2 linked regions of the Caenorhabditis elegans genome follow. The protein of the gene in region 1 purifies or fractionates together with the protein of each later gene. This does not show direct contact. Each region holds a gene or a part of one and is shown in the gene's direction. Other genes may lie near its edges.

Region 1 (4,658 bases):
ATGCAAACGTATCCAAATTTGCACTATCCACTTCAAAACTCACCCAAAATGCCGAGCCTGTCGATTCCAAAAATGCTTGAATTTAGGAATGAAGCTAGCTCCTTCAAATGATCAAATAGTTAATATTGGCAATCAGTCTGATTATAACTTTGTCAAGTTGTTGGATGATTTGAAATTTAAAAACGCTCGAAATTATTTAAAATTTATAAACTTCTATTCTTTGGAGGATCCGAGCTTGTCCGAGATATTACATGATAAAATTATCATGAAATTTGTAAAAAGGGTTTGCTAAAATTCTGCAATTTCAACAGCACTCATATATTTTTTTCCAGACATCCGAGACTAAAATTAACGTTCAACAAAACTGAAATATGTTGTCTTACACTCGAATATCCTATTTTCTCGATTTCAACTTTATTCGAGACCTAGATTGACAAAAATACACTGTTTAAATATAATATTTTGAGAGCTGGATGCTTAGCACTAGCCATGTGCTCATAAAACAAAAACAAATCGAAATTAACATTTCCGAATGATGCTGATATTTTTCCATCTGAAATGTATAATCTTTGTGGAAGTTCTACAGCTGTTCTGAATCAAGTGTCGGGACAAGTGATCGCCAAGTTTACAGAATTGAAAATCAAACAAGAAGAGTATTTTCTTCTAACACTGCTCATGTTTTGTAACACCTGTAAGTTTTGGTTTTTGAAAATCTAATTTTATAATTTTTTGAAATTTTAATCTCTATAGCACGAGTGATCTATGCGACAAAACAAAATTCGTTTTATCCTCACATCAACAAACCTACTGCTCTGCTTTGCTTCGTTTTTGCCAGCTGGAATATTCGAAATCTGCACCAACTCGATTCGCAGAGCTTTTATCACTTTTTGGAATAGTGAACAAGTCGGTTGATAATTCAAACTATTTGAACATGATGCTTCAATGTTCCGATCCAAGTTCAAGAGAATGACGCAGGATGTTTTTTTTTTTTGACACCGTGTAATAATACGATATGTTTACCTTTTAGAACTCACATCATACTTAATCATACACATGACAATTGTTTTTGATTTCTTTCAATTTTTTTGCTAATAAAAAAATTTGGAGTAATCATACTGGGGTGCTATTGAAAACTTCCGGCAACCGGCAATTTTCAAAGCTATCAATTTTTCAAAAATTACAAAATTCATTTTTTCAGGATTTTGTGAGTTTTGCAAGAAACTATTATAGAAAAAATACGATCGCACAAAAATAAACAACGACGCAACGACACTCCGCTATTTTTAAGCCCCTCCCACGATTTCATTTGCACTGCGGCCGCCACATTTCAGTGCAAATGAAATCGTGGGAGGGGCTTAAAAATAGCGGAGTGTCGTTGCGTCGTTGTTTATTTTTGTGCGATTGTATTTTTTCTATAATACATATATCTAGGGAATTCTCTTCTAACAAAATTTCCTAAAGTCTCCATAACTCTATGATCAACGGTAAAATTGGAGCATTTCAAAAAATCAAAAATTTTGTGCATAAAATCGGAAGATCACTAGACAACTCCAGCTGATAAATCTTTACCAAGTTATCAATAGATCAGAACTTATGTGTCAGTGCATAAGAATGCACTTCACTTTCATGCGTATTTAAAAGAAACGACTTTACATTTGTGATTTCTGCTGCAAATCCCGTGATCAAAGTATCAAAAGCATAACATATTGTGTTAAAGATCTCTGCCTCACTTCCTCCTCCAAAATTCTATATATAAAAGAGCCGGAGTTGGCACTTGCTCTCTGAGTTTTCAGGCTTCAATTATGACTAACTACGCAAGTATTGCTAATTTCAAGACCGAGGAAAGTGTTCTTGTAAGAGAAAAGTGTGTGATATGTTTTGGATCGGCGTTGGGGATGAATTATGGGGTGAGTTAAAATTAGTTTAGTGGAAAAAAATATTTCAATATTAAAATTTTACAATAAAATGTATTAATTTTTTCTCACTTTTAGTTTTAATAAACGACCAAAAAATCCGATTTTTAAAAATTAATTTTATATTTTAACTTCGTTTTGAAAATTCTGAAAATAGCTCAAAAAGTTAAAGTTTTTAAATTTTTGACAAATTACCAAAACTTTTTCTTAAACTTTCAAAATATTACCCTGGGAAAGTTGGGAAAATGAATGTGAAAAAAATCTATATTTCGGAAGCAAAATAATTTTTAAAGAAATTACATTTTATTTTAAAAAATTTGAATCGTTATATTTTTGGTAATTTTTCTTTTATAGGCATTGACTTGCTCCGCGTGCAAGATGTTTTTCCGAAGATCTGCTGAGAAAAAATTGAGCTACAACTGCAAGAAGGACAATCAGTGCTCAATTGCTCAACGGAAATGCCGAGCTTGTCGTTTTCAAAAATGCCTGAACTTTGGCATGACATTTTACTCATTCCGGGGACAACTTGCTCAAAATTTTAATAATCTCGATCAGAAGCTGGAGCTCCTTTTAAAAGAGCTAACAATAAAAGATGGGAAAAACTACACAAAATTCATCAACTACTACTCAAATGAGGACCCTTCTTTAGTGGATGTTCTAAAAAACTCGAATGTGATGAAAATGAAAAAGCGGACACCTCACACCGTCACCGATTCCCATGACTGGGCATTCTTGGGGATCCATGCGAGGATTTCCTATTTTATGGATTTCGAGTTCATAAATAAGTTGAGTTTGAATGACAAAGTAATCCTTTTCAAATACAATGCTCTACGCATGGGATGTATGACTGAAGCAATGCGATGCTTCACTGCAAAAAGAGCATATTTGGTAACTCCAAGCGGTGAAGATGTCTACCTGCCGATATTTCGTAGAATATTCGAAAAGACTCCGGCGCTTTTGGATCAGACATCTTGCATGGTGCTTTATAAGTTTATAGAGTTGAATATTACAAATGAGGAGTGCATTCTATTGGCGCTGATTTTCTTTTGCAATCCTGGTGAGTTCTGCATAGCAAAAATGAAGGAAAAATTGCTTAAAACACAGATTTGAGTTGAAATTTTTTCGCCAAGATATGTTTTGAAAAATTTAAGTTTGAACCTCCTGCCCAATTTTTTAAGGTTATAACTTCGTTCAAGACAAAACTTTTCAAAATCAAAATTAAAATTTCGGCGAAAAATTGTTTAAAAATTGAAATTTTAATTTGGCACCAAAGATTTTTTGAACATTTAAAAAAGTTTTCAGTCGAAACTATTTGACAAAAAAATGCAAAAAAAATTAATACCAATTTTTGTTGAAAAATTAAAATTTGGACTTCCCGGCCATATTTTTTTGCAAGATTTTTGTTTGAATTTCTCGCATCAATTTGTAAAAAATTTTAATTTTAATTTCCTGACAAAAATTTGTTTCAAAAATTAAAATGTGCAATTTTTACCAAACTTTTTAAAACGATATTTTTATTATTTCTCGCCGAAACTTTTCAAATTTAAAATTCAAATTTCGGGATAGTTTTTTTTTAATGTTTTTAATTTGCGCAAAAATTTGAATTTCCTTGAATTTAATACTTTAGCTTTTAGAACAATTGCCATACTCAATTTTAAGAACAATTTGGCGAGAAATTAACGTTTACAATTTCCTTTTAAAAATATTTTTTGAAAATAAAAATATTTTTTTCAAACAATTTTGGCTGGAATTCGCATTTCAATTTTCTAAAAAAAATTGTTCAGCAATTTCCGATGAGCTATCTGAAAAAGCTAAGGAGACACTATCCCGACATCAAAAGCGTTACTGCTCTGCATTGCTCCAATATTGTCAGTCAACATGCCAAAAATCCGCACCTTCTCGGCTCACTGACCTCCTATCCTTGTACAATGTCACCAACAAGGCTTATGACGGTTTTCAATACCTTTGCATGACTTTCCAATGTCTTGCACCAGATTTTAGAGGGAAACAACTCGTATATGATACTTGTTTGGACATCGAGAAAAATAATAGTAAAGAAAATTCGTCTCAGAAGGTGCAGAAGCAAAATCAGAAAATAAATGGAATCTTTTAATGTATAACTCGTATTCACGGAATTTTTAAAAATTAATATGTTAATACATGTAATTTTGAAACAAATCATCTAAACGAAAATAAGAATATTTCTCCCTACGTGCCTGCTTGCCTGCCGCCTGCCTGCCTACGTGCCTGCCTAGCACTTGTCTTTCTACAATCACCTCTTTTCTTAAAAATGTAGTTTTCTGAAAATCTATCGATTTTTTTGAAAATTCAATTGTTTTGTATATTTATGATTTTTTTTCGGATAATTCATATTTACATTGGAAATTGAACTTCTTTTAAAAATTTATTGATTTTTCAGAAACGTTGCTGTATTTTTTGAGAATTTCCCATTTTTAAGGGAATTTTTATATATTAATTTCAGAAAAATTATAGCTTCTAGTGAAAAAAATCTTATTGCTGGGTGAGATATTCATTAATTTTCTATTAAAATGTGTTTTCCGAAAAAGTTTTTGATAAATTCATCAAAAACTTCTCGTGGAGAAGAATACCAAAAAAATTACAAAACCGACACCCTCCGAACAATCACGAAAACTGCAGTGGATTCTGAATTGAAAACAAATTAAGTGAAATGAATAAATTGGCTGATACCTTTCTTAAAAGCAGCTCTCAGTTCTCCATTAGACG
Region 2 (4,971 bases), 3.9 Mb from region 1:
TAGGGGGCATAGGGGAAAGGGGGGTAAACAAGGAAAACTCAGTGGAAATTTGAAAAACAACGACTTGCGGAACAAAAATTGGCAGATTTTGCGATAAAATTCGCTTTTAACCGTGAATTTTGAGTTATTACACAAAAAAGTTGGAAAATAAAATTTTTGCTCAAATGGCGCAGTAGGTCACAGAGATGGCTGGCACCCAGAAGGTCACGGGTTCGACCCCCAGCGTAGCCATTTTTTTTTCAATTGCGTTTCACACATTTAATTATTTTTTGAAAGTGTGCAAGTAACATTTTGCAGTTTTTACTAAGATCTTGAATCTGTCAAAGGGTTTTTCGAATTTTACCGGTTTTTTGGATAGTTCGACCCAAAATTTCAATATTTTGACGCCAGAAACTTTGAAAAATGCCCTAAAATAATTCTTCTGGCAATAAAAGATAAAAAATAAAATTTCGACCAAGTGGCGCAGTCGGTAACAGGGATGGCTATGACCCAGAAGGCCACGGGTTCGACCCCCCGCTAGAGTCAAAATTTTTTTTAAACTCTAAAGCTAAAGACAACGCAGTTAAAAACTATCATGACTTGGAACATGCCTATATTAGGCCTGAATTCGGTTCATTTCAGCCTATTTCGGCCCAAATATTTAAGTTGCTCAAACCTAGCCAATATGGGTGTTAAAACTATCCAAATTTCACGGAGAATCTGAATTTTTAAGTTACAACTCACAAAAAATTAGGGAAAATTGGTCACCGCTATTGGCTCTATGCCATACATGGCCCAAATTGAGTCCAAAACTGCTCTGTGTGTCCGGATGTCCTTATCAGCTGATATCATCAGTTTTCCCCCGCATATCGGTCACTACTAATTTGCGAGTAGCCAGCCGCCGTCTCTGCGTCTCTCATCGATCTTATCATCAACAAAATCGTAAATTGCCCGTTTTATTTGGACGAATCGGCATCTACCGTAACCAACAAATAGACTATGCTTTAAAATTGTTTGGTATGAGTGAAAAAGAAAAATATTGACCCTAGCAGGGGGTCGAACCCGTGACCTTCTGGGTGGTAGTCATCTGTGTTACCCACTGCGCCATTCGTGCAAAATTGGGATTTTGACTTTTTTTTTGCTCTGACCTTAAAACTTTAGGTTTATATGTTATTTTTATTTTTTCAGTTAGGAAACTATGGATTTTAGACTGATATTTAACAAATTAGAGTTGAAAATCTGTATTTAAAAGTTAAGCTGTGTTCTATGACATTTAAATTGATGAATCCTAGCAAATTTAACAAGAAAAAAAATTGACCCCAACGGGGGGTCGAACCTGTGACCTTCTGGGTGGTAACCATCCGTGTTACCCACTGCGCCATTCGTGAAAAATTCCAATTTTGATTTTTTTTCGGCTCTAAACTTCAACTTGTTGATTTTAGATGCAATTTTTTTAACTTTACAGTTTGTCGGTTCACACGAAAATTCAACAGGCTGGGCTAAAATTGACAAAATTTTAGCTGAAAATCGTTGTTGGCGTATGGCAAAGTTGCAAGTAAGTAAATCTTAGTGAGTTGCCTCTGCAAAAATTATCGTCCACAGCGGGGCTCGAACCCGATACCCTCCGATCCAAATCCATTCCTGTAACCTACTGAGCCACTTGTGCAAAATTCAATTTTGCAACTTTTTGCAGCCAAGCCCATTTTTCACCGTTTTTTCTCAATTTTTAGTCAATTTTTAGCATTCGACACAATCTAAACCCTCAATGTATATTGGCCAAGCGGTGGTGGACTGCTGGTCGGAGACGAGTGAGAGAGACGGGCCTCATGTGTCTGTGAGTGTGCGTGAGTGAGTGAGTTTGTGAGTGTGTGTTGAGCGCGCAAAAAAGAACACATTGGCCGTCGTAGTGCGGTAAAAGAGACGGAGAAGTTGCGGGGAATTGTTTGGGTGGTGAGGGGTTCGGGTGGGGCGGGGAGGGCGAGTCGATCAGCCGGGCCTCGCTTTCTCTGGCCGCTTCGGCATCTCTGATGTCTCTCCGTCTCCGGCACTCCCTCCCAGCTGTGTTGTCCGCCTATCTCTTTTGCCCCATCCATAGAGACACACTCACCAGCGCCCCTCTGCATACCCTCTCAGCTGACACACTAGAAAGGTCTGTTATTAGTAGTTGGCATATTCGCCTTTATTTTGCGGAAACTCGGCAATCCCCCCGGAGGAGCTTGGCTCGGCAATCGGCTCGCCAATCATGGATGATGAAGAGGAGATCCCTGTAAAGTACAAGCTCGACGGAGAAACCGAATGGCAGGTCAAGAAGGAGGCGGTGATGAAGCTCGGCAAGACTGAGTGGTAAGCTAGGGGGTATATATAGGTATATCTCGGAAATTATCAGAGCAATCAAAAAATTGTTAACTGAGGAATTGTAGAACTAGTTTTCAGCTACATTTTTGTAGTTGACAACTTTTTTGTATTACGTTTGGTTTTAGAGTTACAGCGTTTTGAAGTCTAGGGTCGGGAAAATCAATGGTGCGCAAAGGGGGAGGTAGTATAGGGTATATCTCAAAGATTAATAGCGGAATCAAAAAATTGTCAACTGAGAAATTATAGAGCTAGTTTTAAGCTACATTGTTGTAGTTGACAACTTTTTTGTAGGACGCTTGGTTTTAGAGTTACAGCGTTTTGAAGTCTAGGGTCGGGAAAATCAATGGCGCGCAAAAGGGGGGGGGGGGGTGTAGCATAGGGTATATCTCAACGCCTATAGGAAATATCAAAAAATTGCCAACAGTAAACTTGTAGAGCTAGTTTGCAGCTACATTCTGTTAGTTGAAAATTTATTTCTAGGTGCAGTGGATTTAGAGTTACGGCTCTTTCAATATCGGAGCCTACAAAATCAATGACTGCGGAGGGCAATGGTGCGCGAAAAGGGGGAGGGGGGTGTGCTAGAGTGTATCTTAATGACTATCAGTGATATTAAAAATTGTCAACTAAAGAATTGTAGAGCTAGTTTTCAGCTATATTTTGTACGTTGACAACTTTTTTCTAGGACACTTGGTTTTTGAGTTACGGCGTTTTGAAAGTTAGGGTCTAAAAATTAGGGGGCTCTGGCCAACAGGCCGTTTAAATCGGGATTTGTAGTTTTCAGGTCTTTTATCTATTTTCATAAGCCAATTGAAGACTGTAAAAAATTTTTGAGCCTAGCGGGGGGTCGAACCTACGACCCCTAGATTCATAGCCATCCGTCTTAGCCACTGAGCCACTTGCATAACTCCGTTATTTTGAAGTTTTTCAGCCCGAGACTAACTTTTTTGAATTGTCCTGGAAATTTGAGAAAATATGACACCCATATTGACTAGTTTCTGGTAAAATGGATTTTCAGGCCGTATCTAGGCCGAATTAGGCCAAATCTAGGCCATACCCAATTATTGCCGATTCAAGAGCAGTTTAGCACAAAAATAAAGTAAATGTTAAATTCATAATAGCCTATTTAAAATTGATGAAAAACTCGGACCCGTTTCGGCCCATTTTGGCCTATTCCGGCCCAAAATCTCAACTTTTCAGATTATAGCCGATATGGGGGACTTATTATCGGAAATTTTACGTAGAATCTAAATTTTTTAGTGCCAATACCTGAAAATTGAATTTTCAGGGCGATCCGTCTGAAACTGTGCAAGCAAGGCGAGAATCACAGCTACTACTCTCTCCACGTGGCAGCACTCACTCCAAACCAAGTGTCTCGGCTGCAAATAAAATGCACACATCAGGTCGAGCCGCCAGTCGTTGACTGGGAGCAGGAGTACACATTTGGAGGAGCTCACACCGTATTGGTCAATCCTTGCCTGTTGAAGATTGCCGAACAGAAGGTAAGGGGCTCGAACTAAGGCTCCAGCTGAGAGATGGATAGAGATACGGGAAAATTGTCAACTATGAACTTGTAGAGAAAGATGTAAGGTACATTTTGTTTGTTGATAACTTTTTTGTAGCATGTACCATTATTGAGATATACCATGTTGAAGTTGAAAATCAAAATTTGTACCTAGTACCTAGGACCACCAACTTCAAACGTCTGTAACTCCTTCAGTATCAGAAATATAAAAATTTTGTCAACTACCATAATAACCAGCTCATCAAGCTCTACAACTTTTCAGTTGACAATTTCCTTCTACCTCCTCAACTTGCATAGATATACGACGTTTCCCTCTTCCTATTCTCTGCCCCCAAAAGCTTAGAAAAGCTTGTGCGCGCATCTCATGAGCGCCGAGACAGTGTATAAGACGAAGAGACGCAGAAAACCGAAAAATACTCATGTCTAGGCGTATGTGTGTGTGTAAATGTCATGTGCGCTCTCTCCTCGCTTCCAAAACCCGACAAAAACATCGATTCGGCCGTCTCCAAGCGAAAGGGGAAAATGGAAGTGTTGGGGGGGACTGTAATAGACTTATAGAACATTTACGGTGATTTCAAAATTTAAAAATATAACCATTATGTAGAGGAAGTTTTGAGCTACAAATTGTTAGTTGGAAAATTTTTGCTAAACCTAAAAGCTTTGAAGTTACAGGAGCTTGAAGCCTTCTTCCAAATACTTCAGATTTTTCATCCTAAAATTCTGAAAACTCCATAGTTTTAACTTTCCAATGTGAAAAGTGTGTTATATACACTCAGAAAAAATTTTGTAACCCTATCCGGGCTCGAACCACCGACCTCTAGGCCAAAACCATAGCTGTTAGCCACTGAGCCAATTATCCAACTTTTTTATTTTTAGAGTTATCGATTTGTAGTTAAAATATTTGAATTCTCCGTAAAATTTGCAAAGTTTTGACACCCATATTGACTATATTCCGATGAATTTGGGTTTTGGGCCGAAATAAGCCGAAATAGGCCTGAATTAGGCCGAAAATCAAGTTTTGCAATACTTTCGGGCTTTAATATTTTGAATAATCAGTGACTGGTTAGCTACCATTGCTAGACACCGTGAGGGAATTTTCGGCCTGAATCGGCCTA

Evidence for each region.
Region 2: the proteins of nhr-198 (region 1) and Y43F8C.3 fractionate together in Caenorhabditis elegans (co-fractionation; one large-scale study listed by BioGRID). This does not show direct contact.

What each region holds. Positions count from the first base shown.
Region 1 is NC_003283.11:15,692,192-15,696,849, forward strand, and holds nhr-198 (Nuclear receptor domain-containing protein), read left to right. Parts: upstream 1-1,802; coding exon 1,803-1,907; intron 1,908-2,267; coding exon 2,268-2,970; intron 2,971-3,697; coding exon 3,698-4,026; downstream 4,027-4,658. Other genes in the region: srx-29 (7TM GPCR serpentine receptor class x (Srx) domain-containing protein), read right to left, coding at 4,594-4,658.
Region 2 is NC_003283.11:19,619,597-19,624,567, reverse strand, and holds the start of Y43F8C.3 (BTB domain-containing protein), read left to right. Parts: upstream 1-1,941; 5' UTR 1,942-2,221; coding exon 2,222-2,322; intron 2,323-3,619; coding exon 3,620-3,833; intron 3,834-4,971.